Saccharomyces cerevisiae S288C: one gene and its partners. The protein of the gene in region 1 interacts with the protein of each later gene in a biochemical or structural test. Each region holds a gene or a part of one and is shown in the gene's direction. Other genes may lie near its edges. The genes, in order: NPL3, HMT1, RSP5 and MEX67.

The links.
Region 2: of the proteins of NPL3 (region 1) and HMT1, one has a biochemical effect on the other in vitro, tested with the Saccharomyces cerevisiae proteins (12 studies listed by BioGRID, with this or other methods).
Region 3: the proteins of NPL3 (region 1) and RSP5 form a complex in vitro, tested with the Saccharomyces cerevisiae proteins (2 studies listed by BioGRID, with this or other methods).
Region 4: the proteins of NPL3 (region 1) and MEX67 form a complex in vitro, tested with the Saccharomyces cerevisiae proteins (2 studies listed by BioGRID).

Annotation. Positions count from the first base shown.
Region 1 is NC_001136.10:1,324,482-1,332,196, forward strand, and holds NPL3 (mRNA-binding protein NPL3), read left to right. Parts: upstream 1-4,301; coding exon 4,302-5,546; downstream 5,547-7,715. Other genes in the region: TIF35 (translation initiation factor eIF3 core subunit g), read right to left, coding at 1-820; CYM1 (pitrilysin family metalloprotease), read right to left, coding at 1,020-3,989; GPI-anchor transamidase GPI17, read left to right, coding at 6,756-7,715. UniProt on the Saccharomyces cerevisiae protein: Involved in mRNA processing and export. Required for efficient splicing of a large set of pre-mRNAs by efficient co-transcriptional recruitment of the splicing machinery. Remains associated with the mRNP during early steps of translation elongation.
Region 2 is NC_001134.8:302,187-309,909, reverse strand, and holds HMT1 (protein-arginine omega-N methyltransferase HMT1), read left to right. Parts: upstream 1-3,933; coding exon 3,934-4,980; downstream 4,981-7,723. Other genes in the region: CSG2 (mannosylinositol phosphorylceramide synthase regulatory subunit), read left to right, coding at 1-829; pyridoxamine-phosphate oxidase PDX3, read left to right, coding at 2,955-3,641; EDS1 (Eds1p), read right to left, coding at 5,207-7,723. UniProt on the Saccharomyces cerevisiae protein: S-adenosyl-L-methionine-dependent protein-arginine N-methyltransferase that catalyzes both the mono- and asymmetric (type I) dimethylation of the guanidino nitrogens of arginine residues in a variety of RNA-binding proteins such as heterogeneous nuclear ribonucleoproteins (hnRNPs) and small nuclear ribonucleoproteins (snRNPs).
Region 3 is NC_001137.3:406,298-415,305, forward strand, and holds RSP5 (NEDD4 family E3 ubiquitin-protein ligase), read left to right. Parts: upstream 1-3,891; coding exon 3,892-6,321; downstream 6,322-9,008. Other genes in the region: casein kinase YCK3, read left to right, coding at 1-90; DSE1 (Dse1p), read right to left, coding at 1,045-2,766; rRNA-processing protein NSA2, read right to left, coding at 7,097-7,882; small subunit rRNA maturation protein LCP5, read left to right, coding at 8,184-9,008. UniProt on the Saccharomyces cerevisiae protein: E3 ubiquitin-protein ligase which accepts ubiquitin from an E2 ubiquitin-conjugating enzyme in the form of a thioester and then directly transfers the ubiquitin to targeted substrates.
Region 4 is NC_001148.4:228,172-236,323, reverse strand, and holds MEX67 (Mex67p), read left to right. Parts: upstream 1-5,485; coding exon 5,486-7,285; downstream 7,286-8,152. Other genes in the region: REV3 (DNA-directed DNA polymerase), read left to right, coding at 1-3,731; MRX4 (Mrx4p), read right to left, coding at 3,815-5,107; DAP1 (Dap1p), read right to left, coding at 7,552-8,010. UniProt on the Saccharomyces cerevisiae protein: Involved in the export of mRNA from the nucleus to the cytoplasm.

The DNA of each region.
Region 1 (7,715 bases):
CCTTAACCTTAGGTTTGGACCATTCAACACGTAAAATTAAATTCATATAACCCCTACCATCCAAGAAACGTAAAGCTTGTTCGGCAACTTCTTCGCTCGAAAAGGTAACAAAGGCGAGACCTCTTGATTTACCTGTTTCTTTGTTTCTAACGACAGAAACTCTTGGAATGGGTGCGAATGGGAACAATAACTCTTCTCTCAAACTATTTTCATCGGCATTTTCATTAACTTGCATAATCTTCAAAGTACACATATCATCACGTTCTCTAGAGTCTCTGTAAGCATCGGATGAAGGATCTCTTGCACCAGCACGACGAGAAGGTGGAACATACTGCCCTGGGATGGAACCAGCTCCGCCAACTTGGCCTGCCTTCTCTTCACTGGCGGCCTCGACACCGCCTTCATTAGTGGCTGGGTCTTCTAATGCTGAAAGTTCACTTAAAATTGTCTTGAATGGACAGTTCATGGTCATATGGTCGTTACCACATAATCTACATTGTAGACCGGTCTTTGTGAGACTTGCCTTTTCTTTTTGTATTCTTTCTTCTTCAGCTTGTTTCCAGTTCCTACTCAATCTTAATTCTACTTCTTCACCCAATCTTGCTGTAACAGCACTTGGACCTGCTGGAGACCCTTTTTCAGAGCCATATTTATGCCAGTTTTTTCTTTCTGCAACAGATTTATGGACTTTTTCCAATACTTTAACCTCTTTTACTTTCTGAGTAATCTTATACTTGACACCGTCTTCAATCTTGTATGTAATGATAGATCTAGATCCATCTGCATTCTCTATGATCTCCTCTGGTGCAACTTCACTCATTATTCCTGGTGGTCTTTGGTCTTTTGATCCTTTCAATACAGCGAGTAACTAGGGCTTCTCTTCCCTCTCTTTTGCCATCGTGATAATTTTTCACTTTCCACACTCAGTGAAAGAAAAAAATTTTAACTTCGTTACAAGCGATGAGTATAGATCGGCAAGAAACTTTGAAGCAGTATATTTACAGGATTAAATTATATATCTACAGTTCCTTCACCTCCCAATTTGGTGAAACAGTCTTCCCCTCGATTCCAGGTCCAATGACCGTACTCACCCCTTCTTTGTTTAGTAGATATTTTTCGGCGACTCTATGAACGTCCAGGAGAGATACGTCTAAGAGTTGTTCCCTTCTTGCTTGTTTCATATCGTCTGTAACACCGCTCATGAAATACGTCACGCCTTCTCCTTTGGGACTTTTAGGTGCGTCTACTTGTTGAAATATTGTCAATTTAGCTTCATCAAGGTCTGTGACGCCCCACTTGGCATCGTTCAGTATATAACGCCCGCTATTCTTGAAGGTTTCTAAACTCTTCAAAGGCTGAGGATCCCTATAGGAATAGAAACTGAAAATACCCGCTAAGGCGCTATAAGAAGCACCACCACCATAAGCACCACCCTTTTCTCTGACTTCTCTGTGCAAATGTTTGAATGTTAGCATATTTGACATAACTTGAAGTGCAGAGCCATCCTTATGTGTATACGGCACACCCAATAAAGCTTGGGATGTGTAATGGACCTGGAAAGGAAATTTTATCAAAGTATGTTTACATTTGGATCCAATAAGAGGATAATCTGAAGTCTTTGGTCCATTGGGCAAGCAGCTGCCATGAGGTAATCTCTCCATGAATTTTGAAATTTGGCTTTCTACTGTTTTCGCTTGAACATCAGAGTCTGAGGTGATAAAAAAATTCATGTTATTGGTATCAACAATGTACTTTTGCAATTCAGTTAGCTTGTCGACAACTTCTCTTTGGAAAGTTTCTTCATTGTCTAACAAGCTGTGCAATCTATTTATAAATTGTAGTTGCTCAATACCATTGAGGGTCTCATTTATAGCTCCACTTGATCTATAATGTGCGGCAGAATAGCCCCTTGCAAATGCATGACCGGCATCTGCTACAGAAGATGTGTTTGAAGATGCTAATAAGCGGATAAGAACTTTCAATTTATCGCTGTTTTTATGGAAATCAGTTTCTAGTAAGATCTTAGACCAGAATTCAAAAATGTGGTCGGTCTTCGAATTTAAAGACCATCCGTCAAACCCGAAAATCAGGCGAGGCTCTGTGGTGTTAGGGTCAGATGTAACCTCTACATGTGTTGATATACCACCCGTATGTAATTTTATCTGATCTTCTATTTCACTGAAGGATTCTGTTGTTGTCCCTAGGTTAGTTAACGATTCAGCAAATAAAGGTAAGTATGGGAAGAGTTCAAAGGGTATTATGTCATTTAGTAAACGTTTACCTCTGACATATGTGATACCATTGGTATCAGTAATCCTAGACATTGTATTATTCTTCTGTTCGATTGAATATTTATCACCAGCTCTTGGGATGTCTTTTATTTGTAAGGTAGGTAAACAGGATAAATCTTCTTTTTCATTTTGTTTCTCCTGTAACAGTATACCACGTTTAAAGATGTTTTTCTTGTCTTGTTCATCCAAGGCAGTAATTTTTTCTCTCAGTCTTGTTTGTTCTTCATCATCCAAAGATTTAGAGAACTCTTCAGATCCCTGAATGGAAAACGTGAAACAAGGTTTATGAACGATATATTTACGGATTAAATCTTGGAATAAAGTATCACCTTTCGTTTCTAAGTCACCTCTAAATCTTTGCAAAACGTCCTCAAACAACAAGCTCTCAAAAGGATCGATTTTGTTTGTCCAACCAGGTAGTATAGAATAGAGTAATTGAAGTCCAAAGTCAGCCTTTTGATCCTTCTTAGATAATTCCAATTGTTCAATTATGGCATCGATACGCTTGCGGTCAAAAGGATGTTCTGTTTCCAACAGGTTTTGAAAAATATTATTTACAGTGTCTTTAAATATTTCAATATCACTCACGCCCTGTATACCAACAGTTAGCAAATTTACTGCTGTAGTTGGTTCAACACCTGAATTTACGGAGAACTCCAAACCAATTCCTGATTCTATTAATTTTTGATACATTACAGAAGAATGGCCATCCATTAATAAATTCCCCAGTACTTTTAACAAAAAGGTATCATATGTGTCCTGTGGCGCTCCACAAATCCACGTCATTGAGGCTTTTGTCTGCTTCTCCGGTGGAAGCATAGTATCTATTTGACCCAGTAACTTGACATCTATGTCTTTTTTTAAATCAATAGGCATTAACAACTTATCCTTTCGAGCTCTCTTCCCGTAACCACTGAACTGCTCATTTAATTGCTTTAACGTATCCACCAATGGCAAGTTACCGTACGTGAAAGTTTTTGCATTGGAGGGATGGTAATTTTTGTGATGGAAATCCAAGAGATCGCCGTATCTCAAGTCTGTAATTTTCATAGGATCTCCGCCGGAGTTATTCAGGGAAGGATAAATAGACTGTTGAAATTTACTCCAGAAATAGTAATTGGCATTTGATATTTGACCTTTCATTTCGTTATAGACAACACCTTTGAAAACAATGTTACTCTCCGGGTCTGTGATGTTTTTATGCTCCAACCTCCAACCCTCCTGATCAAAATCTTCTTGTTTAAGTAGCGGATTCAAGGTGGAGTCTAAATAAACACCTCTTAAATTAGCGAAATCTTGAGGGTTCGTAGTGGAAAAGGGAAAAAATGTATAATCTGGACCTGTCATAGCGTTCATGAAATTAGCTAGAGATTTATTTAGCATTTTGAAAAAAGGGTCCCTAACTGGATATTTAACAGACCCACACAACGTTGTATGCTCTAGAATATGAGGGACCCCAGTGGAATCTGGAGGGTTGGTTTTAAAAGCAATGCTGAACACATTATTCTTGTCGTCTCTATCAATATGCAAATGCTCGGCTCCTGTCTGGGAGTGCACCAAATCTACCGCAGTGAGTCTCAGCTCCGGAACCGGTAGAATTCTTCTCACTTCATAACCATGGAATATACCTCCAACTGGATATTTTCTAACGGCCTGTGCTTGGGCATACGAGGACGCAAATCGCTGAAACCGCAACATATATACCGCAGTATATTTTATAGTAACTTTATTCTTTTGAGTAGCCTTCTAATTGGTGGCTTATTGATTACAATTGCTTGTTATCATATCTGTCAATGCTTGTTCAACAATTCAATGATTTACTACTACCTTTATCATAGAGCCCCTCCGTATATTTATCACTGTAAACGAAGGGCAAAATTTTTTACATTCTTTTTTTTCGCCACCCAAAGGGATTTAAAAAGGACATGAGAAAAATAATTTCCTCTCTTCTAAATATATATACTTTTGAAGGAATCAAAATTAAGCAATTACGCTAAAACCATAAGGATAATGTCTGAAGCTCAAGAAACTCACGTAGAGCAACTACCAGAATCTGTTGTCGATGCCCCAGTCGAAGAACAGCACCAAGAACCACCACAGGCTCCAGATGCTCCACAAGAACCACAAGTTCCACAGGAATCTGCTCCACAGGAATCTGCTCCACAAGAACCACCAGCTCCACAAGAACAAAATGACGTTCCTCCACCATCTAATGCTCCAATTTATGAAGGCGAAGAATCCCACAGTGTCCAAGACTACCAAGAGGCCCACCAGCACCACCAACCACCTGAACCCCAACCATATTATCCTCCTCCTCCTCCAGGTGAACACATGCACGGTCGCCCACCAATGCACCACCGTCAAGAAGGAGAACTCTCGAACACCAGATTGTTTGTTAGACCTTTCCCATTGGACGTTCAAGAATCCGAGTTGAATGAAATCTTTGGTCCATTTGGACCAATGAAGGAAGTCAAGATCTTGAACGGCTTCGCGTTTGTTGAATTTGAAGAAGCAGAATCCGCTGCCAAAGCCATTGAAGAAGTTCACGGTAAGAGTTTTGCTAACCAACCTTTGGAAGTTGTTTACTCTAAATTGCCTGCCAAGAGATACCGTATCACCATGAAAAACTTACCAGAAGGTTGTTCATGGCAAGATCTTAAAGATTTAGCCAGGGAAAATAGTTTAGAAACTACTTTTTCTAGCGTCAATACCAGAGATTTTGATGGTACCGGTGCTCTAGAATTCCCTAGTGAAGAAATCTTGGTCGAAGCTTTGGAGAGATTAAACAATATTGAATTCAGAGGTTCTGTCATTACTGTTGAAAGAGATGACAATCCTCCACCAATCAGAAGATCAAATAGAGGTGGCTTCAGAGGTCGCGGCGGCTTCAGAGGCGGCTTCAGAGGTGGCTTCAGAGGCGGTTTCTCCAGAGGCGGCTTCGGTGGCCCCAGAGGTGGATTTGGTGGTCCAAGAGGTGGTTACGGTGGCTATTCCAGAGGTGGCTACGGTGGCTACTCCAGAGGCGGATATGGTGGCTCCAGAGGTGGTTACGATAGTCCTAGAGGTGGTTACGATAGTCCAAGAGGTGGTTATTCCAGAGGTGGCTATGGTGGTCCAAGAAATGATTACGGTCCTCCAAGAGGTAGCTACGGTGGTTCAAGAGGTGGTTATGATGGTCCAAGAGGCGATTATGGTCCTCCAAGAGATGCATACAGAACCAGAGATGCTCCACGTGAAAGATCACCAACCAGGTAAGCCATTTATATAGTTGAGAAAAAAAAAGGAGAAATTAACAAAAGATATGAATTGTTTTAAAACTTAAATATGAGACTGAGAACAAATGAAAAAGGAAAACATCGTATTAAATGTTGAAAAAGTTTTTTTTTTGAAGAACTTCCTCCCCATTCCCTCCCCTCCCTTTTATTAAGTATAGTTTTTGTTTATTAATAAGTTTAGTGTTAGAAGATCCCAAAGTATATGATTGAAAACAGAATTGTTTATTGCGAGTCCCGACTTCACTCCAGTAGATAGAATAATCCCATGATAACATTTAACATCCTTTTTACAACGGAATTTCATTTCCAAATTGATGAGTCGTTAAAACTTCTGTATTGGATTTTAATTAGACCTTCTTTCGTGTAATACTACTACTACTACCTCTAGATTCTTATGTGTCTTTCAATTTTTTTTATTTCCCTGCACCAAACTATCTTTTATTGAATGGAATGTGCTGCAAAATTAACAAAAATAAGTTTTACTTAAAGTTTCTAACGAGAATCTCCTCTTCAACATACGGGCAGGATAATATAATTGACTATACTGATAATGAACCCCGTTTTTTGTTATCTTGTGAGATAACTCAGTGGAAACTTGATCTAGCAGTAGACCAGTTTCCCCTCCCCCAATTAATACTAGAAAGTTGAGAAACTACAGAAATCTTGTAATTTAACCATTTTTTTGTCCCAAGCCGATCTATTTTGGATATCTTATTGTCATTTTTCAAGTGAAAAAAGGTCTCCCTTTCTATACGAGAGTTCTCATATGGAATGAGAGAATAAGCGGTAAGATATCGAACATTCACAAGAAATAAAGTACCAGTTAAGAGGTGCAATTGAATATATACAATATCCTATCATCTTAGTCCTTTGAGTATGCAAAAAGCTACAAATATAGTTGTTAGTTTGGGTCAGGCTAATTTCAAAGAATTTGAACTCCTATAAAGTTAAGTTGAAGAAACTAATAAGTACTATTATGGCCTGTTAAATCTGTGTTACGTATTAAATGATGTGTAATCCAGAAGTTATAAATAATGAAAGATGTCCTTACGTGGAGCTTAATAACAGAGATACAAAGTTTAAAAGGGAACTCGTGTACTAATTGAAGTGTGTACGTGTGCATTAATATTAATAAGGGATAAATAACGATAAAAGAGCCGCTCTTTGATAAGGATTACACGCCAGAATAATGTCCAATGCAAATCTAAGAAAATGGGTTGGTTTTTGCTTTGTTGCCATTTATCTCTTTTTAGGTGTTCCACTGTGGTACAAGCTAACTACAGTTTATAGAGCATCACTACCAATAAATTACATTGAGTCACTTCAAAATAACAAATTCCAAGATATTCATCTCGTAATACCGGTGTATGTTAAGTCAGATACTTACAGATTTCCTGACGTTCATGACGCTATCCAAGTACAAGTTAACCATTTATTGAATTCTCAGGAGCAACGGGTCCCTTGGTCTTTACAAGTTCTTCCATATAATGAGACTATTGAGCAGATGGAAAGTGAAGGCAACCAGTTTCATGTCGTTACTTTGAAGTTAGACGAATTTATTGGTTACTCATCAGCTTACGACACCAAAGAAACACTAGTATATTACGACGATGCTGCCGTTTTAAGTAATGATCTACCGTTTTTTGTTGCTCAAACATTGGTAGAGCACACTTTCCAATTGGAATGGACGCATTTGAATAAAACGTGTGAAGGCGTTTCTACAAACAACGATGTCGCAATATCTTATGATCCAAACATTCATTTAAGTGTAACTTTATTGTCAGGTGATGGGAATCCTGTTGCATGGGAAATTGAGCCTACATTAACTGACTACTTTTCACCTTTTAGGAAGTTCTTATCACCACTGGTAAATTTTACAGTAGATTCATCCATTGTTTATCATAATGATTTGAATTTGCATTCATTAAATGGATCATGTACAAGCGTTACGTGGTTTGATCTCTCTCATACTATTGATCTTTCTGAACTTTCTTCAATGGCCTATTACCCAGAAGATTCTGCACTGAATTTAGCCATAGTCTTTCCTAGTGCTTCTTCAAGTCCCGATGGTCTGGCGTTCATTAATGGCACTCGGATTTCAGACGAAATAACCACATTAGATTGGAATAGTTATCTAGTTCCTCAATGG
Region 2 (7,723 bases), on another chromosome or scaffold:
CTTCAAATATGTGGCTAAGCTAACAGTGCTGGCTCTCATAATGATTGTCGCTGATTTGACTTATAACATGGCTTTGTCATTGTCACCGGCATTTGATGTTGCTTTGATGCAAAATACTGCCATTTTCGAAATTGTCACTTTACTATATGGTGTTTGTGGAATCTCCAGGAAGAACTACGTTTTCCGTAATTTCCTCATCATGATGAACGCGGTCATTGGAATTTTGATCATCTCATACACGAAGGCTACCTGTGACATGCTTGCCGGAAAGCTGTCCGTCAACCCTAACACGGGTGAACTTTCTGACCCATTCTTGTTTGATAGGTTGAAAGGTGCTCTGATTTGCGGCCTTGGTGCTTTGATTATGGGTCCTTTTGCCGTGTTATGGAACCGTTGGTTTTGCAGTAACATTTCCAAGAACGAAAATTCTGCTGTAGTCTTGGTTAAGCAGAGCACCCACATGGCCCTAATCGGTATTATTGGCATGGTAATACTTTTGCCATTTATTCCTAAATTTCCCTCCCGTGAGTCTGTGGAATCCATTTCGTTGTTCTATAATGACAAGAGCTTTTGGTTCTCTCTACTAGGCTCGATTATCTTTGGTTCCTTGCCGAGCTTGATTTCGATATTAGAGTTGAATCGCAAGGCCCCTGCTGAGTATTTGACGACGTGCAACCTGGGAGCTATTATCTTTATGGGGTTAGCTGAGTGGGTTTGCGAACCTACGCAAACCACAATTGTGAGATGGGAAGTCATAGGATACATAATGCTAACGGTAAGTTTGTTGGTCCTATCAGTAACACTCGGGGAAGGTAAATACCACCATTAGTACGGACAACATACTTTATATGACTGATGATGATGTAACAAGCATATGCAATTATTTGGTTTCCCTAAATAAAAAATCCCAATCAATATCTTGATTATTTTCAAGACAATTACTAGGATGTTCTTCTATTTTTTTATTTTTATTTGTATATTGTATATTCTAAAAAGAAGAAGCCATTTGGTGGGCTTTATTATAAATATTAAGAGGCATACCTCCGCCTATCCGCCTATCCTCGTCATGAACAATCAATTAAAAGCGCTTATAAAGCGATATACAAGTACAGTACGCGCGATTTCTACAATACAAAAAATATACATCAAGAAAAAAAATGTTTCCAAAAATTATCTAAATGCATCGAAGGCATTAGGAGAAGTAGCTGTGAATACAACACCAAGATTCATAAAATGAACACACGGTTCCTTCCGCTTGGAAAATAATGCGACAAAAATACCGTATTGATCATCAAAGTAGTTTTAATAGATACCTAAAAAAACCATCTTGAAAAATCTCAAATTACGTTCTTGATCTTGTGTCATTGTTCAGTTACTGATCGCCCGCAAACCTAACCGATGCTTAAGAAAGGACACCCTTGCCTTTTGGCTTATTTACCTACTCGTATTTTTCTCTGTCACATCGTTCGATGTACGGGGCACATTTGGAAATTTCATCAGTAAGTTCAGTGAATAGATTTTTTATTTTACCTTTTTGTAGTGGGATTTATTCTTTTAAAGGCAAAAATCTACTGAAAAAACGGAAAAAACTAGAATAAACCATTTCTATATATACTCATGTTCCCTGACGTTCTTTTTCCTTTTTCTTTTTCCAGAGTTAACGATAAGATAGACATAAAGTGACAGCGCTTAGCACCGTCTGTTTGCAAATCTAACTTAAACTCCTTTTTTTCTGTCACCTTAAACAGTGTCAGAAAAAATACTAGGTATAAGAAAACGAGAAAAAAATAAACAGCGAACTCGTGCAAACTTTGCTAATAAACAATTAGCTGTAACATTTGTGTGTGGGTGTGGTGATGGTAGGCTTCCCATGGTAATTAAAAGGTTAGGTCGAGAAGAGGATCGGTACGAAGAAGGAATAACAGGAATAAGTTCAAAAACACTGCTTTAGCAACTAAATGCAATAGCAGTGTTTAAGAATTTACGGTTTGCATTTTCTAAACTCAGATTTTAGCCATCTATAAGTAGAAACACAATAAAAAACCACAAATTGCGCACACACAAGCATCTACACTGACACCAGCATACTCGAAATTCTTTGGAAAAGAAAAGAGCAGCAGGCTATCAACTGAAAGATCAATCCGAAATCCGACACTATCTCTTCACCATCGAGTGCCTACCAAATTTCTGAGGCCTGCATGATGGAAAACTCAAACGTAGAATGTACAAAAAACACGGACTGAAAAAAAAAAAAATACGATTAAGCAAACGCAACAGCCATTGACATTTTCATAGGGTACCTATCTTCCTCTCTAGTTTTATTCTCAAACCAGAAAAATCACACTAAAAGCTACAAAGAAGGTCTTTTAATTGAGAACCTTGAGATCTATATGTCACCATTGCTAAAGAGGAAGTTTTTTCGCGAGTTCGCGCGCTGAAAACTTTTCTCCCATTTCCTTTTTTTTTTATTTTTTTGGCGTTTAGATATAAAAGCTTTAGCAGGATTGCTCTTCCTTTTCACCACACATATAGTGATATAAAATTTATTTATAAACTAACACAAGTAAATATACAACACCCAGTATTTTTGGCTGCCCGTGTCTTTCTCTACCACGGGTAGTCTCTCTAAGCTGGCAGATAGATGTTTATTGAACCGCTTAAGTTCCGTTGTGAAGTTTTCGTCTTTCAGGCTGTATTTCATAACACTACTGTAGTTCACACATACACATGCGTAATGCCCCAATCTTGATAAACAGCACATACAAGTAACAGCAAGTCTGCTTAGCAGCCAGATAGAGCTCTTATAGATGCCACCAGAACCAGCGCCGGGTAAATTGTAAATACTAGAAGGGGCCGCAACTTATAAGAAAGAAGAAATGACTAATTTGCATGATTAGATATTTTAAAGATACTCTACCTAGACCAGTAGTACACTTCACGGATCTGCACTGAAAATGACTAAACAAGCTGAGGAGACCCAAAAGCCAATCATATTTGCTCCTGAGACGTATCAATATGATAAATTTACTTTGAATGAAAAACAACTTACTGACGACCCAATCGATCTTTTCACCAAATGGTTCAACGAAGCCAAGGAAGACCCAAGGGAAACGTTGCCAGAAGCAATTACTTTTTCATCCGCGGAACTACCTAGTGGGAGGGTGTCGTCCAGGATTCTTCTTTTTAAGGAGCTCGACCATAGAGGTTTTACTATTTATTCTAACTGGGGAACCTCTAGAAAGGCTCATGATATTGCTACCAACCCGAATGCGGCAATCGTATTCTTTTGGAAGGATCTGCAAAGGCAGGTGAGAGTTGAAGGTATCACAGAGCATGTTAACAGAGAAACTTCTGAAAGATACTTTAAGACGAGACCTCGTGGATCCAAGATCGGTGCATGGGCTTCCCGCCAATCGGATGTTATCAAGAACAGAGAAGAACTAGACGAGTTGACCCAAAAAAACACCGAACGTTTCAAGGATGCTGAAGACATCCCATGTCCAGATTATTGGGGTGGCTTGAGAATCGTTCCACTGGAAATTGAGTTCTGGCAAGGTAGACCCTCGAGATTGCATGATAGATTCGTTTACAGAAGAAAAACAGAAAACGATCCATGGAAAGTCGTTAGACTAGCCCCATGAGGGACTGTTAATGAAAAATTCAATGTAGGATCTATTTAACACCATATAATTCTCTCATTTTCTATTTTATACTGTATAATGAATCTTTTTATACCGCCTATAGGGTAATATGTCAGAATATACCGAGATGAAAAAAAAGAAAAAGGAATTCCGAAATTTGGAAATGGCGGGAAAATTTTTTCACAAAGGGAAATTATATGTTATAAAAATAGTTGAAGAGATGAGCTGCCTACTGCTCACCTTGCCGTTTCCAAAAAAGAGTTAGAACCGACAAATTCATCCAAAGAAAATAATGAGCAAGACAGCCGTGAAAGATTCTGCTACAGAAAAAACCAAGCTAAGTGAAAGCGAACAGCACTACTTCAATTCGTACGATCACTATGGTATTCACGAAGAGATGCTTCAAGATACTGTTCGTACCTTATCTTACAGAAACGCAATTATCCAAAATAAGGATCTTTTTAAGGACAAGATTGTTTTAGACGTCGGTTGCGGTACCGGTATTTTATCCATGTTTGCCGCTAAACACGGTGCGAAGCATGTTATCGGTGTTGATATGTCAAGCATTATTGAGATGGCGAAGGAATTGGTAGAGTTGAACGGATTCAGCGACAAGATCACCTTGCTAAGAGGCAAGTTGGAGGACGTTCATTTACCCTTTCCTAAAGTTGACATCATAATTTCTGAATGGATGGGTTACTTTCTACTATACGAGTCCATGATGGACACCGTTCTTTACGCTAGAGACCACTATTTGGTAGAAGGCGGTCTGATCTTTCCCGACAAGTGCTCCATTCATTTGGCCGGTTTGGAAGACTCTCAGTATAAAGACGAGAAGTTGAACTACTGGCAAGACGTTTACGGGTTTGATTATTCGCCATTTGTTCCGTTGGTCTTACACGAGCCCATCGTCGACACCGTGGAAAGAAACAATGTCAACACCACCTCAGACAAATTGATCGAATTTGATTTAAATACAGTAAAAATATCAGATCTAGCGTTTAAGAGTAACTTTAAATTGACGGCCAAGAGACAAGATATGATTAATGGTATAGTCACCTGGTTCGACATTGTTTTCCCTGCACCAAAGGGTAAGAGACCTGTTGAGTTCTCCACTGGTCCTCATGCTCCATACACTCACTGGAAGCAAACAATATTTTATTTCCCTGATGATCTAGATGCTGAAACTGGTGACACCATTGAAGGTGAATTGGTTTGCTCTCCAAACGAGAAGAATAACAGAGATCTAAATATCAAAATTTCTTACAAGTTCGAATCGAATGGCATCGACGGTAATTCAAGAAGCAGAAAAAACGAAGGTTCTTATTTAATGCATTAAGACTTTTGTTTGCTGGAGAAAGAAAAAAATTTGAAAAGCAAATAAACAAACTTGTTCATATTATTGACGCGAATATGTGTACTTTGTTACCCTTTTTTGTTGGTCGTGTACCAAAATTAGTTTAGATATATGACTTTGCATGTCCTTGTACTATAGTTTTTAAAAGAAAAAATCTACTTATCTATCCTTCATTAGGATGCTATTTTTCACCTTGTTATCATGAATATTAGTTAAAGAAGCAACAGCAACAACCCAATTCTGAATCATCCATCAATTTCCAACCTATGTCGGCAAACTTTTTCAATATCTTTTTGTTTTCTTCCTCCGATGGCGCAACGTTTGAGGCGTTACTAGCTGCACATTTTCCGGAATACATGCTCTTCATTACCGATTCGTAGCATCCGGTACTACTTGTAGCACTTACATAGTAACGCTTAGCACGGTCATGTGCATTCTTCCTAAAAGGTTCTAGGGTATTAAATAGTGCGGTTATTTGCACCAATTCGTTCAGCGCAGTTGACAACGTCATAATTCTGTCATTTATTCCCTTGGCCATATTTCCATTACGGATGTATAAACTTATTAATGTGGTAGGTATGGGTCCTATCAAACTAATGATATTATAGCATTCTTCCACCATTGGCAGCATGAAAATAGAAACAGTTCCCATCAAGTCTTTGGTTGTGCAACGTGTATTTTCTTCACTGGCAAGATTTGACGTAATACTTTGTGTTGGCGACATTAATTCTTCTTCACTGTCCTGAGCAAAATAGGCGTTCGGAAGGGGCTTTGAATCCAAATCAACAGAGTTTTCTGCGTTCATATTAGTAATTGAATCTAATATGCCTGATACCAGAGTGATCATTGAGCAGACTAGCTCTCCGATATTTTTCATTTCAGCATCCGAATTGCAGCAATTTTCTAGAATATGGTCATTTTTCTGTTCAATATTTAGTAATTTTCTGATTAAAATTTCCTTTTTCTTCAAAAGGGTCTCAAATTTGCCAGCTATATTATCATGTTCCCCTTTTTCAACAGCGAACTCTCCGTAATCCGTTTGATTTGTGAACAGCAAGTGGTGAGGTACATTTACTTGCAATGATTTTCTGTTAAGGACAAAATATGTTATAAATTCACCAAGTTTAAGGTTTCGTAGAATGTTATCCAAAGCTACGGGAGCTTTTTCGACGACTTGGTTATGACCTGTTTTATCGCTAAAATATGTTTCAATGGCGCTACCAAAATTTAGATTAATTAATTTTGGTTGACCTAGCCGAAAGCTTTGTAGCGTATCCAGAATGTTTAAAAGGATGTACAACCTTTTGAACAACACAGCATAATCCAGTATCTCGTCACCACTTTCCTCGTTTGAATTTAATAATAGCATTGGGGACGTATTTTGAAAAGGTAGAAATAACTTATGAGCTTGAAATTCGTTAAAAACCCCAACAGAGGGGCCTAGCAAAAGCGAGCTTTCCTCACCGGCCAATATTAAGATAAAATTTAACACTATTATTGTCGAAAAGTAAATGAACTTTATTCTTGAAGGAATAACACTGGAATTTTGTTTTAATACGGGTTTTATAGTTATTAAACTTTGGAAGCAGTCGGCTATACATTTGTTGAAATTCTGAATGTAATACAGACCTTTTTGAAAATCGCATAAACTGTCACGAGACCATGATTTTGTTGATTTCGATGACCTTCTTTGTTTTATTTTGCAAAATACCAATACCTCTAGCGCGGTTTTAAAACACTGGATAATTTCATTGTTAATTTGTCTGATCTCATCAATCACGTTTGGCTTTTCAGGATCAAGCATGTCAGTAAATTTACTTTTGTTAATTGGTATTACAGGAAAATTAATATGGAAAAAGTTATAGTAGATGCCTAAAACCTTGTAGAACGAGGTTGCATCAAACTGTCTGTAGGTTCCAAGCATAAGTGGTTTAGCACTGGCTTCCTGATTCAAGGAAACATTTTTTTCAGTGCTAGGATGAGAAGGATTCGACGATCGATATACAGGCTTCCAAGTCGAATTTTTGTCCCATTTGTCACTTCTACCATCTGTGCCTAATTTTTTGTTCGGAAATCCCGCAGTTAACGAGTTTAATCGTTCCTTTTCAATGGAACGTACACTATTGGGAGTAAGCATGCATTGGTTTTTACCTTGCGTATTACCTTCTGAAGTTGTAGCCTCACTTGTATAGGAAAGGCTGCTTAGCCTGGATCTCCCAGAGATAAAAGGGTTAATGTACGGGCTAGCGCGCTGTTCTTGAATTGGAAGAGATTGTGAACCCTGACGACGAACGTTAGATGAACATGCGCCCATTTCCTCCACGGGCGTTATCATTCCTTTCGCTACAATATCCTTCCCCTCTTGCCTGACATTTAAGTTTTCATCTAAGCGATAGTTTCCCCCAAATTCGGTAGATATCGATGAATCGCTGCCTAATATTGCCAGAGAGCTCCTACGCTTGATGTCATCGTACGGCACCTTTACAAATTGTTGCGATTGAGCAGTTATCGAGGGAACAAATAGACTGCTTATGGAAGGAAAAGAGGAATTCCTGGCGAGTGATGGTAAGTAGTTATTTCCCGAGTTCATTGGGTATGAATGTGTTCTTGGTCGGTATTGAAGAGGATCATTATCCGAGCTGAATTTTTCAATGGATACTACACTGCCCCTTTTTTTTGCAGGACCACGTTTCAATGGAACTCTAATAAATTGACACTTTTCACC
Region 3 (9,008 bases), on another chromosome or scaffold:
CAAGAAAATGATGCTTATTCTGATGACGAGAATGATACATTTTGTTCTAAAATATACAAATATTGTTGTTGCTGTTTTTGTTGCTGTTGATAAAGCGATTTTTATACTTTTCTCTTTTTCCTTTTTTTTTTTGATTGGCTGTTTCCTTATGCCGCTCTTTCCCAATTTATGACTTTCCAATAATGTATTATTTTGTTTCTCTTTCTCTCTGTTACCCTTTATTTTATCATCTACAATAATTGAATTCCGGAGAGGGTAAAGAAACAGGAAAAAGAAGAAAATGAGACATAGTCAGCATCGTAATCGTTTTCCTTCTGTATATTCCTTTATCAAAAGACTACACGCACATATATATTAATCCCGGTATGTTTTTGGTGTGCTAAATCTATCTTCAAGCACTATTATAGCATTTTTTTAAGAATATCCAAAATAATATGTAATTTATGATTAATCAAGGTTCAAGAATTGGAGAAACCGTGAGCGACTTCTTTGATACTTGGATGTAAGCTTTTATTTAGTTGCTTTTTCGTTTTCTTTTATTTACGCCCTTGTTTTGCGTGTATACTTTACTTTTCTAATTCACTTGAGAGCGGGACTATATATAAAAAAATGCACAATTACAAACTTGAGAATGAATGCATATCGTGAAGATTTTGATATTAAATTAAGAAGCCAAAAAAACGTAGGCAACCATAACAAATTTCGGCATTGAACTTGATTCTAAATGCTACATACAATTACGCGCGCTGTTTTGATATACACACACATATATATATATATACATTGTGTAAGAAAAATTCAAAGCTTAGTAAAACATACAGATCATGGAGAAAAAAAAAAAACCGAATACTTGTGTTACCAGAAGGATCCACTGACTGGACTTGGGTCACAATTTGAATTTTATTGATTTTCACCTTCATCAAGGAGGATGGTCGTTAGTAATAAAGGGCATTCTGAGTGACAGACAAAGAAATTATCTTCAAAGAAATGTTACTTTGATTCATTGATATGTTATTTGTTTTTATTTGAAAGCACTCAAGGAAACTAGACAACAGTAGTATCAATAGTAGATCCACTTAAATGCACATCATTTACAGAATACATCCTCTTTGTGAAGACGATATCCTCTTGGTCATCATTCAATCTACCTTCGCTAACAGTATTTGCTGAAGAACAATCCCAATTACCAGAATTTGAGAACATATCATCAGATGTTTCTGTCATACTATGGTCACTCTCATTGGATAATGATAACATAGAAGAATCAGATATTCCACTCTTCCCAGTACCATTACCATCGATTATTTTACCGGTATCGACATTGAATTGAACTTGACAAATTTGATGTAATCCCAGTTCACAAAAATTGTCAAGAGTTACTAAACTTCCATCGTTTGCCATATCAAGGAATAAAAATCCACATCCTTTTCCATTGGCCTTAGTGTCATTGCTCTTCAAGCAAATATTTTTATCACTCATACCACTCACAATAATGTTTCCACATTGGAAGACTTGCTTGGTTAATAGTAGTTCACTTTCACTATCTAGGCTAATTGAGTTAAATCCATGGACTAACTCACCATATTTCATGTTTTGTAGGTTTTGTAAATCCCAACAAATGACAAAGCCTTGGTCATCACTGCTATATAACGCGCCTGTGTTTTCGTTAAATTTTAGACTTTCAATGTATCCTTTCTTAGCATATAATTCACAAACTGGTTTACCGTCGCAGGATTGAATGTCCCAAATTTGAATTTTATCGTTCAAGCTCTGTGCAACGTGATGATTACTTATCCATACGCAATCCAAACTTGTGTTCTTTCTTTGCAAATGGTCTTTTCCACATCCTGCAGATATGCTATTATCTAAAATATCTGGAATATAGAGATTTGTTCTCAAATCAAGCAGCGAGATGCCATTTGGTCCAAATTTTGAGCCAACTAAGGCCAGTAAGAAGGGATCATGGAATTCATTAACGGCAAAAGAATTTATACCTGGATATGATTGCAAAAAAATAGGTGTTTTTATGCAATCAAGATTTGATTTCAAGTCATATATAAAGAGGGAGTCATTTAGAAGGGAAACAAAACCGGTCTTGTTCCATGGCGAAACCTTCAAAATAGGTGCTGTTTTTGGCGTTATTTCCAGAATCGGAATCGACGTTGATACGGTAGATTTTAGAAACTTGTTGTGGTTAAACCTTTTTATTATTTTAGCACATCCCTTATATGTTGAAGTTGCTATCAGATTGACTATACCGTCTTGATGACCTGTCAATATTAATTGGTTGTGGTTAGGATTTATTTGAGAGCTGGGGAAAATCTGTGGCGGAAAATCTACCATGGGCAATAAGCAGATACAAGTAATGGGTTTACCGGGAACAGTAATCGTCTGTAGTTCCTTCAGCTTTTTCTCAGCGGAAATTTCAAAAAGTTTCAAGTTGTCTTTCTCGTTCATTGTAGATACTAGAAGTATATTATCCACAATGGACATGTCTGAAGGTATGGATAACTCACTTTCATCAACACCGTACAGTTTCCAATAATCTGATTTTAATTTTTTAGTTGTATAATAGTCATTGAAGTTGTCTGATGCTTTTCGCAAAATCGGTGAATTCATTTTCGAAGTATTGTTTTGCCACGTTTTTTTGTATGTGGATAAAGTCATCATCGATTGTAAAATCCTCTTTTTATCTGATCTCTTCTTTATATTAATAGCAGGCTGACGAAAAATATTTGTTGGTTCGTAGTATTTGGTATCTTGCATAATATTAATACGTGTCACTCTCACTATCACACCTACAATCAAATTTTTTAGCAAACACAGATTAAAATTTGGAAGTCATGCAAGAAGAAGAAGCCAAAAGATAGTTTGAGGAAAGCTTGGGAGAGATATTTCTACCTTTTTATATATTGTAAAACGTTTACGCACTTATTTATGTAAACCAGTAAGCACCCACCCAGCTATGTCGTCATGACTACAAATTGGTTATGAACCAAGCCTTATTCAGTAAACCAGCAAATTTAACATCATGCCGGCATTGAATCATACATAGAAATCAACACAATAGCTTTGAGAACTGAGAATGTAGCTTTGACGCTGCTATTATTATTTGGTATTGTTTACCTTTTAATGTTTATTTGTTTAGAAAACAGACTGCTGGTTTGTTTACATTTGAGAGCAGAAAAAAAAAATTGCTGGCGCAGACCAGCCGCACAGTCACGTGACAGTATACGATCATGTGATCTTACGTACATAATGACATTATACGAGAAAGGGGAAAAAACAAAAATTTAGTGGAAATTTTTGGTAAAGACCAAATTGCAGTGATCTTCATGGTGAAAGGTAATATTTTTTGCTGGCGGGGGAGGGGGCTTCTATCTCGACAATTAAAAGACATACGCTTAACCATTTTTAGGGTACTCGAGTATCGCATCTGCTAATTGATAAAAGGACTTTGTTGTGTTTTGAGGCTGTTTTCCATTTTCTTCGTTAGAGCTACAAGAGTCGACTTTTTCGTTAAACAAAAACGATTATAAGATAATAAGCGCTGTCAGTTTTTTCCACAGTTTTGGACTTGTTACTATAATTCGTGAAGCACATTTTGCAAGTGAGTCAAAATTTCAGTTCAGTCCTTCTTTAGAAGAGTGAGTGCGTAGCAAATAAAACAGCAGGAAATAATTGCTTGTTTTTGTGTGTAAGTACCTTTTAGTTGGAACTACCGAATATAGTGTTATTCGACTTTCACTTTCATAAGCCACAGCTTTTTCTTAGTGCGTTTTTAGTTCGATAAATTTACCAAAAACTATTTTCCCCTTTTCTTATTCCCTTTTCTTTGTTAGCTTGGGTATTATATTTAAAGTAACAGAAAGGAAAGAAAAAAGAAAAAAAATGCCTTCATCCATATCCGTCAAGTTAGTGGCTGCAGAGTCATTATATAAGAGGGACGTATTCCGTTCCCCGGATCCGTTTGCTGTTCTGACTATTGATGGTTACCAAACCAAATCTACATCCGCAGCGAAGAAAACGTTAAATCCCTACTGGAATGAGACTTTCAAATTCGACGATATCAATGAAAATTCTATTTTAACCATCCAAGTCTTTGATCAAAAGAAATTTAAAAAGAAGGATCAAGGGTTTCTTGGCGTGGTTAACGTCCGCGTGGGTGATGTTTTGGGCCATTTGGATGAAGATACTGCTACATCGAGTGGTAGACCTCGCGAAGAAACTATTACTCGTGATTTAAAAAAATCTAATGACGGAATGGCCGTCAGCGGTAGGTTGATTGTTGTTTTATCAAAACTACCTTCGTCAAGTCCGCATTCACAAGCTCCTTCTGGCCATACTGCATCTTCTAGTACGAATACAAGTTCAACTACTCGAACAAATGGTCATTCTACTTCCTCCACCCGTAATCATTCAACGTCTCATCCTTCCAGAGGCACCGCGCAAGCAGTAGAATCAACTCTTCAAAGCGGTACAACAGCTGCTACTAATACGGCAACAACCAGTCACCGTTCCACCAATTCCACATCCAGTGCTACCAGACAATACTCTTCGTTTGAAGACCAGTATGGTCGTTTACCCCCTGGTTGGGAGAGAAGGACCGATAACTTTGGTCGTACATATTACGTCGATCATAACACAAGGACTACCACTTGGAAACGTCCAACGCTCGATCAAACAGAAGCCGAACGTGGCAACCAATTAAATGCAAATACTGAGTTAGAGAGAAGGCAGCATAGGGGAAGAACTTTACCTGGTGGATCATCAGATAATTCCTCTGTAACAGTTCAAGTGGGAGGTGGTTCCAATATACCTCCTGTTAATGGTGCAGCAGCAGCAGCGTTTGCAGCTACAGGTGGTACCACATCTGGTTTAGGCGAATTACCTTCAGGCTGGGAGCAGCGATTTACTCCAGAAGGAAGAGCTTATTTCGTTGACCATAATACTAGAACAACCACTTGGGTGGATCCAAGGAGACAACAGTATATACGTACTTATGGCCCTACAAATACCACCATTCAGCAACAACCGGTCTCCCAATTAGGTCCTTTGCCTTCTGGATGGGAAATGAGATTGACCAATACGGCACGTGTATATTTCGTTGACCACAATACAAAAACAACGACCTGGGATGACCCAAGACTTCCATCATCGCTAGACCAAAATGTTCCACAATACAAGCGTGACTTCAGACGTAAGGTTATTTATTTCAGGTCCCAGCCCGCTCTTAGAATATTGCCGGGACAATGTCATATTAAAGTACGTAGAAAGAACATTTTTGAGGATGCTTATCAAGAAATTATGAGACAAACCCCAGAAGATTTAAAGAAAAGATTAATGATCAAGTTTGATGGTGAGGAAGGTTTAGATTACGGTGGTGTTTCCAGAGAATTTTTCTTTTTATTATCACATGAGATGTTTAATCCATTTTATTGTTTGTTTGAATATTCTGCGTATGACAACTATACCATTCAAATAAATCCTAACAGTGGCATCAACCCCGAACATTTGAACTATTTCAAATTCATTGGTAGAGTTGTGGGTCTTGGTGTTTTCCATAGAAGATTTTTGGATGCATTCTTTGTAGGTGCACTTTACAAAATGATGCTACGTAAAAAAGTCGTATTGCAAGATATGGAAGGTGTTGACGCAGAGGTGTATAACTCATTAAACTGGATGCTTGAGAATAGTATAGATGGTGTCTTGGATCTGACGTTCAGTGCCGACGATGAAAGATTCGGTGAAGTTGTAACAGTGGATTTGAAGCCAGATGGGAGAAATATTGAAGTTACTGATGGTAATAAGAAAGAATATGTCGAATTATATACCCAATGGAGAATTGTTGATAGAGTTCAAGAACAATTTAAGGCATTCATGGATGGTTTTAACGAATTAATCCCCGAAGACTTAGTAACTGTGTTTGATGAGCGTGAACTAGAACTATTGATCGGTGGTATTGCGGAAATTGACATTGAAGATTGGAAGAAACACACTGATTATCGTGGTTACCAAGAGTCAGACGAGGTCATTCAATGGTTTTGGAAGTGTGTCAGTGAATGGGATAATGAACAAAGAGCCCGTTTATTGCAGTTCACCACTGGTACTTCTCGTATACCTGTCAACGGGTTTAAAGATTTGCAAGGCTCTGATGGTCCAAGAAGATTCACTATTGAAAAAGCTGGTGAAGTACAACAATTGCCAAAATCTCACACATGTTTTAACAGAGTTGATTTGCCACAATACGTTGATTATGACAGCATGAAACAGAAGCTAACATTGGCCGTGGAAGAAACCATAGGGTTTGGTCAAGAATGATTATTCCGCACCAATTTTTTTTTTATTTATGGTGTCCGTTTTCCCAACATTCTTTCTGCCTCAATCATCTTGTTTTATATTTCAGCTAACAATAGTAAAGAGAAAACTCTTTTTTGTTAATTTTATCTGAGTTGCTCATGAAATGATTAATCATTGTTGTTTTTACAGCAACATGGAAAGCAGCAAAGAAAATGCAGGAAAACGTGAAGTGCTTTTTTTGATGATTACGCAAAGTTCTTTTCAAGTTCGCCATAAGAGGAGGTTTTCCTTTTCAAAAGGAGCATGATACCAATAATTTATATTGCCTTACGCCTCTTATTTTTTATATCCTCTTTTTAGATTTTATTAATTTTTTTTTTTATTTATATACATATAATGTGCCCTGCTTTTTACAACCATACGTTTTTTGTTTTTTAATTTTCTTGCATTTTAAAACTGAATAGTGACCTGGGTATTATACTACAGTTGAAATTGCTCTCGTGAGGTACATACTTGAAACGAGCGTACTAGGCAATCCCTCTCTTGCCAGTCACCTACACACGGAGAGTATCGGTTATTTGTCGTGAGGAAAAAAGAACCGGATAATAAATTCTTGATTTGTTATATTGTACAGAGAATGACGAGAAGTAAAAAGAGAAACCCGAACAGGACAGAGCGTACATTTTTTATATACCTGTTCTTTTGTGCTTGTAGACGTATATCGTATTATTAAATTAAAAGTAAACCTAATTTGAACCATCGAGATAAAAAAAAAAAAAACGGAGCACTTTTTTGCTCATACAAGCAAAACCGCATTGACACAGCCGTCTCTGTCTGGTTCGTTTGTGACCTGAGCATACTTACCCCAGACAACTTTACCACCAGCAGTAACCATCCCCAATTCCGAAACGTTAACTTCAATAATGGTACCTTTAGTCAAAACACCTAACTGAGTGTACATTGGAGATTGTGGATTCTTCTTAACTGCCAAAATTGGCAAGAAGACAGTTACACCTAATTCCGGATGAGTGACGTTTGCCTTTTTCTGTCTCAACGCACTTGGTCTGATGATTCTTTCCATTTTAACTGGTCTTCTAGTGAAACCTTCACCCACAAAAGTGTGTTTCGTTATCATTCTCTTCCATGACTTGGATCTAGATTTACCTGTTTTAATAACTTTGAACATTTCTTCTTCACTTATACCACGAACCTTTGGTAACGGAACTGAAAACTTATCAGCTTTTTCCAACCTCTTTTGTTTGATCGATGAAGAAATAGCTTTGGCTGTGTTATTTTGTTCTCTGTCCAATAGATATGTCGGCAAAGCATCACCATCGGTATCCAATGGTTTGGATGAACCCTTGACCTTAGATTGTTCATGTGCCTTAATCTTCTTTCTCATTGATACCTTTTCAGCATATCTCTTCTTAGCAAATTGCTTACCCTTCCAACCAGTCAACTTCTGGGCCCGTTCAGAAATCTTATGAGACTCTCTTGCCTCTCTCTTACGTTTCCTTTCTTCGTGATCTAATCTTTTACCATGCTGTTTGATGTGACGCTCGATATAATCGTTTTGAGGCATTGTTTCGTTGTATATATCAGTATTGATACGAGACTGACTACTGACTAAAGATAAAAACGCCAGATACGAAAACCAAGTTCTTCTCTAACTGATACCTAATCCATTCAATTGTCTTAAAAGTGCATCTCATCGCTGTCCGGAAAATTTTTCATCGGATTGTTACTAGAACCGTTGCCGACGACATAAAATTTTTTACGCCTTTCCTGCAAGGTTGAAGAAAAGAAACCGATGAGCTATACCATTCTAAAGTGTCAAAAGAGATGAAGAAATTAAAATTGTCAACTAACACACAAATCCAAGAATGTCTGAACTTAATGCATTATTAAAAGATATCAACGGCTCGCTCACTGCGACATCAGAATCCTTGGAGAGGTTGTCTGGGATTTATAGTAATTCTGCGACCGATGAGATTCCTGAAAGTAACCAACTACATGAGCATCTATTTTACGACGCTAAGAAGCCTGCTGAGAAAGTATCGCTGCTATCCTTAAAAAATGGGAGCATGCTAGGGTACATAAATTCTCTATTGATGCTTATAGGCAATAGGCTAGACGACGAGTGCAAAGATCCTTCTGCTATGGATGCACGTGAACGCTCTATTCAACACCGTGTGGTATTAGAGCGTGGTGTTAAACCACTAGAAAAAAAGTTGGCTTACCAATTGGACAAGCTGACTAGAGCATATGTGAAAATGGAAAAGGAATATAAAGACGCTGAGAAGCGTGCACTGGAAAAATCTACCTTAGTGAATCATAGCGGCAACGACGATAGCGAAGATGATGAGTCTAGTGAGGATGAAATAGCATACAGGCCAAATACCTCTGGAATTATCAACACAAATAAAAAATCATCAGCATACAGGGTGGAGGAAACGGCTAAGCAAGAAAACGGGGAAGAAAACGATGACAATGAGACTGGCGTGTATAAACCACCAAAGATTACGGCTGTTCTACCACCGCAACAAACGCATTTTGAAGATAGATTCGATGCCAGAGAACACAAAGATCGTAGTAACAAATCGCGTATGCAAGCCATGGAAGAATATATTAGAGAGTCATCGGACCAACCGGACTGGAGTGCATCTATTGGTGCTGACATTGTGAACCATGGAAGAGGCGGTATCAAA
Region 4 (8,152 bases), on another chromosome or scaffold:
GAAATGGATTGATTGAGATAGATATACTACCGCAATTCATCAAAAATAGAGAAAAGTTACAGCATAGAGATATACATCACGACTTTTTGGAAAAACTGGGAGATATTTCTGACATACCTGTCAAACCATATGTATCCTCTGCTAGGGACATGATAAATGAACTTACCATGCAACGAGAGGAGTTGTCCTTGAAGGAATATAAAGAACCACCAGAAACAAAGCGCCATGTGAGTGGTCATCAATGGCAATCTTCTGGAGAGTTCGAAGCGTTTTATAAGAAAGCACAACATAAAACAAGTACTTTTGATGGTCAAATACCAAATTTTGAGAACTTTATAGATAAGAATCAAAAATTCTCAGCCATAAATACGCCCTATGAAGCATTACCGCAATTGTGGCCAAGGCTTCCACAGATTGAAATAAACAATAATAGTATGCAAGATAAAAAGAACGACGACCAAGTTAATGCATCGTTCACCGAATACGAGATATGTGGTGTTGATAATGAGAACGAAGGTGTAAAAGGAAGCAATATAAAGTCTCGGTCTTATTCATGGTTACCGGAAAGCATTGCGTCTCCGAAAGATTCTACTATACTATTAGATCATCAAACAAAATATCACAATACGATAAATTTTTCAATGGATTGTGCTATGACGCAAAATATGGCAAGTAAACGAAAACTTAGATCATCTGTTTCTGCTAATAAAACATCGTTGCTGTCTCGGAAAAGAAAGAAGGTTATGGCTGCGGGATTACGCTATGGAAAAAGAGCCTTTGTTTATGGTGAGCCTCCTTTCGGTTATCAAGATATTCTGAATAAATTGGAAGACGAGGGATTCCCAAAAATAGACTATAAGGACCCTTTCTTTTCGAATCCAGTTGATCTAGAAAATAAACCTTACGCGTACGCAGGTAAGAGGTTTGAAATAAGCTCGACACATGTATCAACGAGAATACCCGTCCAATTTGGGGGAGAGACCGTATCAGTTTATAACAAGCCAACTTTCGACATGTTTTCCTCCTGGAAATATGCGTTAAAACCACCTACGTATGATGCTGTTCAAAAATGGTACAATAAAGTACCCTCGATGGGAAACAAAAAAACTGAGTCTCAGATAAGCATGCACACCCCTCATAGTAAGTTTTTATACAAATTTGCTAGTGACGTTTCTGGAAAACAAAAAAGAAAAAAAAGTAGCGTTCACGATTCTCTTACTCATCTGACACTTGAGATTCATGCAAACACGAGAAGTGATAAAATTCCAGACCCTGCAATAGATGAAGTTTCCATGATTATATGGTGTCTTGAAGAAGAAACTTTCCCTTTAGATTTGGATATCGCTTACGAAGGGATTATGATAGTCCACAAAGCTTCTGAGGATAGTACATTTCCTACTAAAATTCAACATTGTATTAACGAAATTCCCGTGATGTTCTATGAAAGTGAATTTGAAATGTTTGAGGCTCTAACTGATTTGGTATTACTTCTTGATCCTGATATTCTTTCCGGTTTCGAAATACATAATTTTTCGTGGGGTTATATAATTGAAAGGTGTCAAAAAATACATCAATTTGACATTGTCAGGGAACTTGCCAGAGTCAAATGCCAAATTAAGACGAAGTTGTCAGATACTTGGGGATATGCCCATTCCTCAGGAATTATGATTACCGGAAGACATATGATTAATATATGGAGAGCGTTGAGGTCCGACGTAAATTTAACGCAATATACTATTGAAAGTGCTGCGTTCAATATCCTCCATAAACGATTACCTCACTTTTCATTTGAGTCATTAACTAATATGTGGAACGCTAAAAAGAGCACAACCGAATTAAAGACTGTGTTAAATTATTGGTTATCAAGAGCTCAGATAAATATACAACTATTAAGAAAGCAGGATTACATTGCTCGAAATATCGAACAGGCAAGATTGATAGGAATAGATTTCCATTCTGTATATTACAGAGGATCACAATTTAAAGTTGAGTCTTTTTTAATCCGAATATGCAAGTCCGAAAGTTTTATCCTTCTTTCTCCAGGCAAAAAGGATGTTCGTAAGCAAAAAGCACTTGAATGTGTGCCTTTGGTTATGGAGCCAGAATCTGCTTTCTACAAAAGTCCTTTAATTGTGCTGGATTTCCAATCATTGTATCCATCCATTATGATTGGATACAACTATTGCTATTCGACTATGATAGGAAGAGTGCGAGAAATAAACTTAACGGAAAATAACCTTGGAGTATCTAAGTTTTCATTACCAAGAAACATTTTAGCTTTATTAAAAAATGATGTAACTATCGCTCCAAATGGTGTTGTTTATGCCAAGACCTCTGTTAGAAAATCAACGTTATCCAAAATGTTAACAGATATCCTTGATGTCAGAGTGATGATAAAGAAAACAATGAACGAAATAGGTGATGACAACACTACCCTAAAAAGGCTTTTGAATAACAAACAGTTAGCACTAAAATTATTGGCGAATGTCACCTACGGTTATACATCAGCTTCATTTTCTGGACGAATGCCATGCTCTGATTTAGCTGATAGCATTGTACAAACAGGCAGAGAAACATTGGAGAAAGCAATAGATATTATTGAGAAAGATGAAACTTGGAACGCCAAAGTTGTCTATGGAGACACAGATAGTTTATTTGTATATCTACCTGGAAAAACTGCTATTGAGGCTTTTTCTATAGGACATGCTATGGCAGAAAGAGTTACTCAAAACAATCCAAAACCAATCTTTTTGAAGTTTGAAAAAGTATACCATCCCTCCATATTAATTAGCAAAAAAAGGTACGTAGGATTTTCCTATGAAAGTCCTTCGCAGACCCTTCCTATTTTTGATGCTAAGGGTATTGAAACTGTTAGAAGGGATGGTATCCCAGCCCAGCAGAAGATTATTGAAAAATGTATTCGATTACTTTTTCAAACCAAAGACCTGTCAAAAATAAAAAAGTATCTTCAAAATGAATTTTTTAAGATTCAAATAGGAAAGGTATCTGCCCAAGATTTTTGTTTTGCAAAAGAAGTTAAATTAGGAGCGTATAAAAGCGAAAAGACAGCCCCTGCAGGTGCCGTGGTTGTAAAAAGAAGAATAAATGAAGACCATAGAGCAGAACCCCAATACAAGGAGCGTATACCTTACCTTGTTGTTAAAGGAAAGCAAGGACAACTGCTTCGGGAAAGATGCGTATCACCAGAAGAGTTCTTAGAAGGTGAGAATTTAGAGTTAGATTCGGAGTATTATATAAACAAAATTCTGATACCTCCTCTTGATAGATTGTTCAATTTGATTGGTATAAATGTTGGCAACTGGGCTCAGGAAATAGTAAAATCCAAAAGGGCGAGCACAACTACTACAAAAGTGGAAAACATAACAAGAGTAGGAACTTCTGCAACATGTTGTAATTGTGGTGAAGAATTGACTAAAATATGTTCACTTCAGTTATGTGATGACTGTTTAGAGAAAAGAAGCACCACAACCTTATCATTTCTCATAAAGAAATTAAAGAGACAAAAAGAATACCAAACACTAAAGACCGTGTGCAGGACGTGCAGTTATCGTTACACTTCCGATGCAGGCATCGAAAATGACCATATAGCTAGTAAATGCAATTCATATGACTGTCCAGTATTTTACTCTCGTGTCAAAGCAGAAAGATACTTGAGAGATAATCAATCTGTTCAAAGGGAAGAAGCATTAATATCTCTAAATGATTGGTAATCTAGACACAGATATGTCTCGCAAAATGATGAGTAGTTATTTGTTTCTATGTATAACGTTGTTATATACAAGAAAGAAAAAAATCATTTCTTTGATTCTTGACGTTGAGATAGACGGTATCTATAATATGCAAAAAAGGAGGCCAGCAATGCTGAGAGTGAAATAAGGAATCTCTTTGAATTAGTGAAAGACTTTTGAGGAATCTTCGTATCCTCTAAGAGTGGATTGCTACTTTGAAAAACTACAATTTTATTATTATCGTATAAGTTCCCCACACATTTCCAACCTTTTAATTCGATCTCATTAATTTCGTTCAAAACTCTATCTGGTGGGGACCCAGATGCATTAATAACGCCAAATAAGTCCGTAAAATTGATGTTAAAGACACTGTGATCAAAGTTGTTTGACAGGGTCATATCCTTATTGTTTTCTAATGAGTGTAACAATATGTTATTCCCTTGAAGTACTTTTTTAGTAGTTTTACTCTTTTTTCCTCCTCCGTTTGAACCTAAAAATACACTTATTCCATTTTGTAAACGTTTCCATAAGCGATTGGGTTCCCTTTTGAATAAGATATTTCCAGCTGATAAGGGTACTATTTCGGAGAAGGATTGAGTATTCCATTGATATATACGAGCTTGATTCTTTTTTTGTTTATCGATGGCACTTTTTTGACGTGCCTTCTTTTCAATATTTTGTAGATAGCGTTTTAGGGAGTTTATATCGATATCTACGTGGTTTTGTTGCGAGGCACCCACTGAAGTCCTGCTTTCCTCATTTTTCTGTAAGTAAAGTGATATTTTCTGATAAACCTCCTCATCATTACACATATCTAAGTTCAAAGAGTGTAGAAGTTCCTTAATATGCATCTTCCTGCTCGGGTGAAGATCCATATTCTCTGCTTTTCGATTTCTTAGTTCAACTTTCTTCTTTTCTTCCTGCGGTGTTATGTCTCGAGGAATAGCAACATTGACAGGACCGGCTGCCAGGTTCATTCCTTCTAATATGTCTTTGTCTGTTAATCGATGTGTTAGTAATAATTTGTTAAGAATTTGCACGTTAGTTTGGAGAGGATTTATCGCGTTCTTCTTACCTTCTCCTTTATATCCGCGCACTAGACTTGTTATGAGATTAATTTCCATTGCAGAAAACTTGGTCTTACCTTTGCCCATGGCAGACTGGTATATTGTGTTTTTGAAGGCCTTTATACGCACTGAATCAGGAGTTTTTGAGTCAAATATATTAAATACATTCCGTCCTCCAAATTTTGCACCTCCACTTCTTGCATGAGATACTGTTCGTACGCAATTCATGCCCATGTTGAATGCCAAGCACTTCATTTTTTTCAGCGATGCAGATGTGTATAAAACTGTCATTTTGAACAGTACTTCCTCCTTCCTTTAAGTTGAATGGAACCAAGTTTATTCCACCAAAGCTCAGAAAAGAAGCAAAGAACAGAAAATTTCTACGAATATTAATTCTGAAGAAACTTAAACGCGGCTTCAAAAGCTAGAAATCCATGCCCACTTGCCTTTCGTAGAGGATTCTAACGATAAATATACCTACAGATTATACTGTTATATAAGATCATCATTACCCGTCTTCCTTTTTTTTCCAGAAGAAAATTTCAGTAAGAGCTGAATTGAGTATGTAGAAAAAAAAATAGTAACAGACTGTTGAAGACATACTTACTCTAAGAAGGAAGAGTAAAATAAATCGTTAAAAATTCTGCATCGCTAATAGCAGCAAAAAAAATGAGCGGATTTCACAATGTTGGAAATATCAATATGATGGCTCAACAGCAGATGCAACAAAATAGAATAAAGATTAGCGTGAGGAACTGGCAGAATGCAACCATGAACGATTTGATTAATTTTATAAGCCGCAACGCTCGAGTAGCTGTTTATGACGCTCATGTGGAAGGACCTTTAGTTATTGGATATGTCAACTCAAAGGCAGAAGCAGAATCGTTAATGAAATGGAACGGTGTCCGGTTTGCAGGCAGTAATTTAAAGTTCGAACTTTTAGATAACAATGGGGCCTCTGCGGGAACTTCAGACACCATTTCGTTCTTGAGGGGGGTGCTCCTTAAGAGGTATGACCCACAAACAAAATTACTAAATTTGGGCGCTTTACATTCAGATCCCGAGCTAATTCAAAAGGGCGTCTTTAGTTCCATCTCCACCCAGTCTAAGATGTTTCCAGCAATGATGAAACTGGCTTCTACAGAAAAAAGTTTGATAGTGGAAAGTGTCAATCTTGCTGACAACCAACTTAAGGACATCTCAGCAATTTCCACATTGGCTCAAACATTTCCTAATTTGAAAAACCTCTGTCTGGCCAACAATCAGATTTTTAGATTTAGATCGCTAGAAGTTTGGAAGAACAAATTCAAAGATCTAAGAGAGCTTTTGATGACAAATAACCCGATAACCACCGATAAGTTGTATCGCACTGAAATGTTAAGATTATTTCCGAAATTGGTTGTACTAGATAACGTGATTGTGAGAGACGAACAAAAATTGCAAACCGTTTACTCATTACCGATGAAGATTCAACAGTTTTTTTTCGAAAACGATGCATTAGGGCAATCATCTACAGACTTTGCAACTAACTTTTTGAATCTATGGGATAATAATAGAGAACAACTGTTAAATTTGTATTCGCCCCAATCCCAGTTTTCTGTTTCCGTGGATTCTACTATTCCTCCATCTACGGTAACAGATTCGGACCAAACTCCAGCATTTGGTTATTACATGTCGTCCTCACGTAATATATCCAAAGTGTCCAGTGAAAAATCTATCCAGCAGAGATTGTCAATCGGGCAAGAGTCCATTAATAGTATATTCAAGACTTTGCCGAAAACAAAGCACCATTTACAAGAACAACCCAATGAATACTCAATGGAAACAATTAGTTATCCTCAAATAAATGGGTTCGTTATTACGTTGCACGGATTTTTTGAAGAGACTGGCAAGCCTGAACTGGAATCCAATAAAAAAACGGGGAAAAATAACTATCAAAAGAATAGAAGATACAATCATGGTTACAACTCCACATCAAATAATAAGTTATCCAAAAAATCCTTTGATAGAACCTGGGTAATTGTTCCAATGAATAATAGTGTCATAATCGCATCTGATCTGTTAACTGTAAGAGCGTATTCCACAGGCGCTTGGAAAACTGCATCTATTGCAATAGCACAGCCTCCACAGCAACAGGCCTCGGTCCTACCACAGGTCGCAAGCATGAACCCAAATATAACGACACCACCGCAGCCACAACCTTCAGTGGTACCAGGAGGGATGAGCATTCCCGGCGCACCCCAAGGAGCCATGGTCATGGCTCCCACTTTGCAACTACCTCCAGATGTCCAGTCGCGGCTAAATCCCGTACAACTCGAGCTGCTGAATAAACTACATTTGGAAACGAAATTGAATGCAGAATACACGTTTATGTTGGCCGAGCAAAGTAACTGGAACTATGAAGTTGCCATAAAGGGTTTTCAGAGTAGCATGAATGGCATCCCTAGAGAAGCATTTGTGCAGTTCTAATGATATTGTTCCCTGTTTCAGCCGCACAGTATCACAAAAAATATACAGTTTAAGCTACTGTTTTCGTCACGTTCCGAACAGCAGCATGCTTTGTATATTTTGTACTAATTCATAAATAAGTAATTATTTCTATACAACCGTTATATAGAAGATTTTTTCAAAATATAGATATGTATATGTATACATATATCATCGTCCACCACGCCCCTTCCTTTTTCCCTTTCCTTGGTGTTTGCTATTAATAAATAATGTGCGGAGCTCAATCGTCATACGTTCACGCCAGGCTCCGGAATCAGAGTACCAATGCATGGGTACTTATTCTCAAAATGCTCTTGCCACTCATCCAGTGCGTCAATCTGTTCTTTTGTCAGATCATCTAAGGGATCGATAGGCTGATCCCAATCTTTAATAACGTCCAGATCGAAGGAGTTCAATGCAAGACCACGCGACGCATCATGGCCTGCAAAGTTAGTGTATGGCCCGCTTGGACCGTAAAACTGCCTCCCTCTTGTGCAGTCGTATACTTTGCCCCTAATAGCAATAAATATTTTTTCATCGTCGTGGCCGTTAAATTTGGAAAGCGTCCTAGGAAAGAAATTACCCGCTACTACCGGTTCACTACCTTTATTAGAATCGTTTGTGTTTGAGGCCCCGTTACCTGTGAGCCCGGTTGGATCCTCACTTGTTTTAACACCTCCAAATAACAAGTTTTTAATGAAGGACATTTGTTCTCTATAATATTCCGATGTACGTGTGTGTGGCTGATGAGATTTAGACTGGTTAGACTATTTGACGCGTCTATTATAGCTTACTGCAACAAGAAAATGATCGTTGATATATAAACTCTCAGATGTATATATCGTTCTG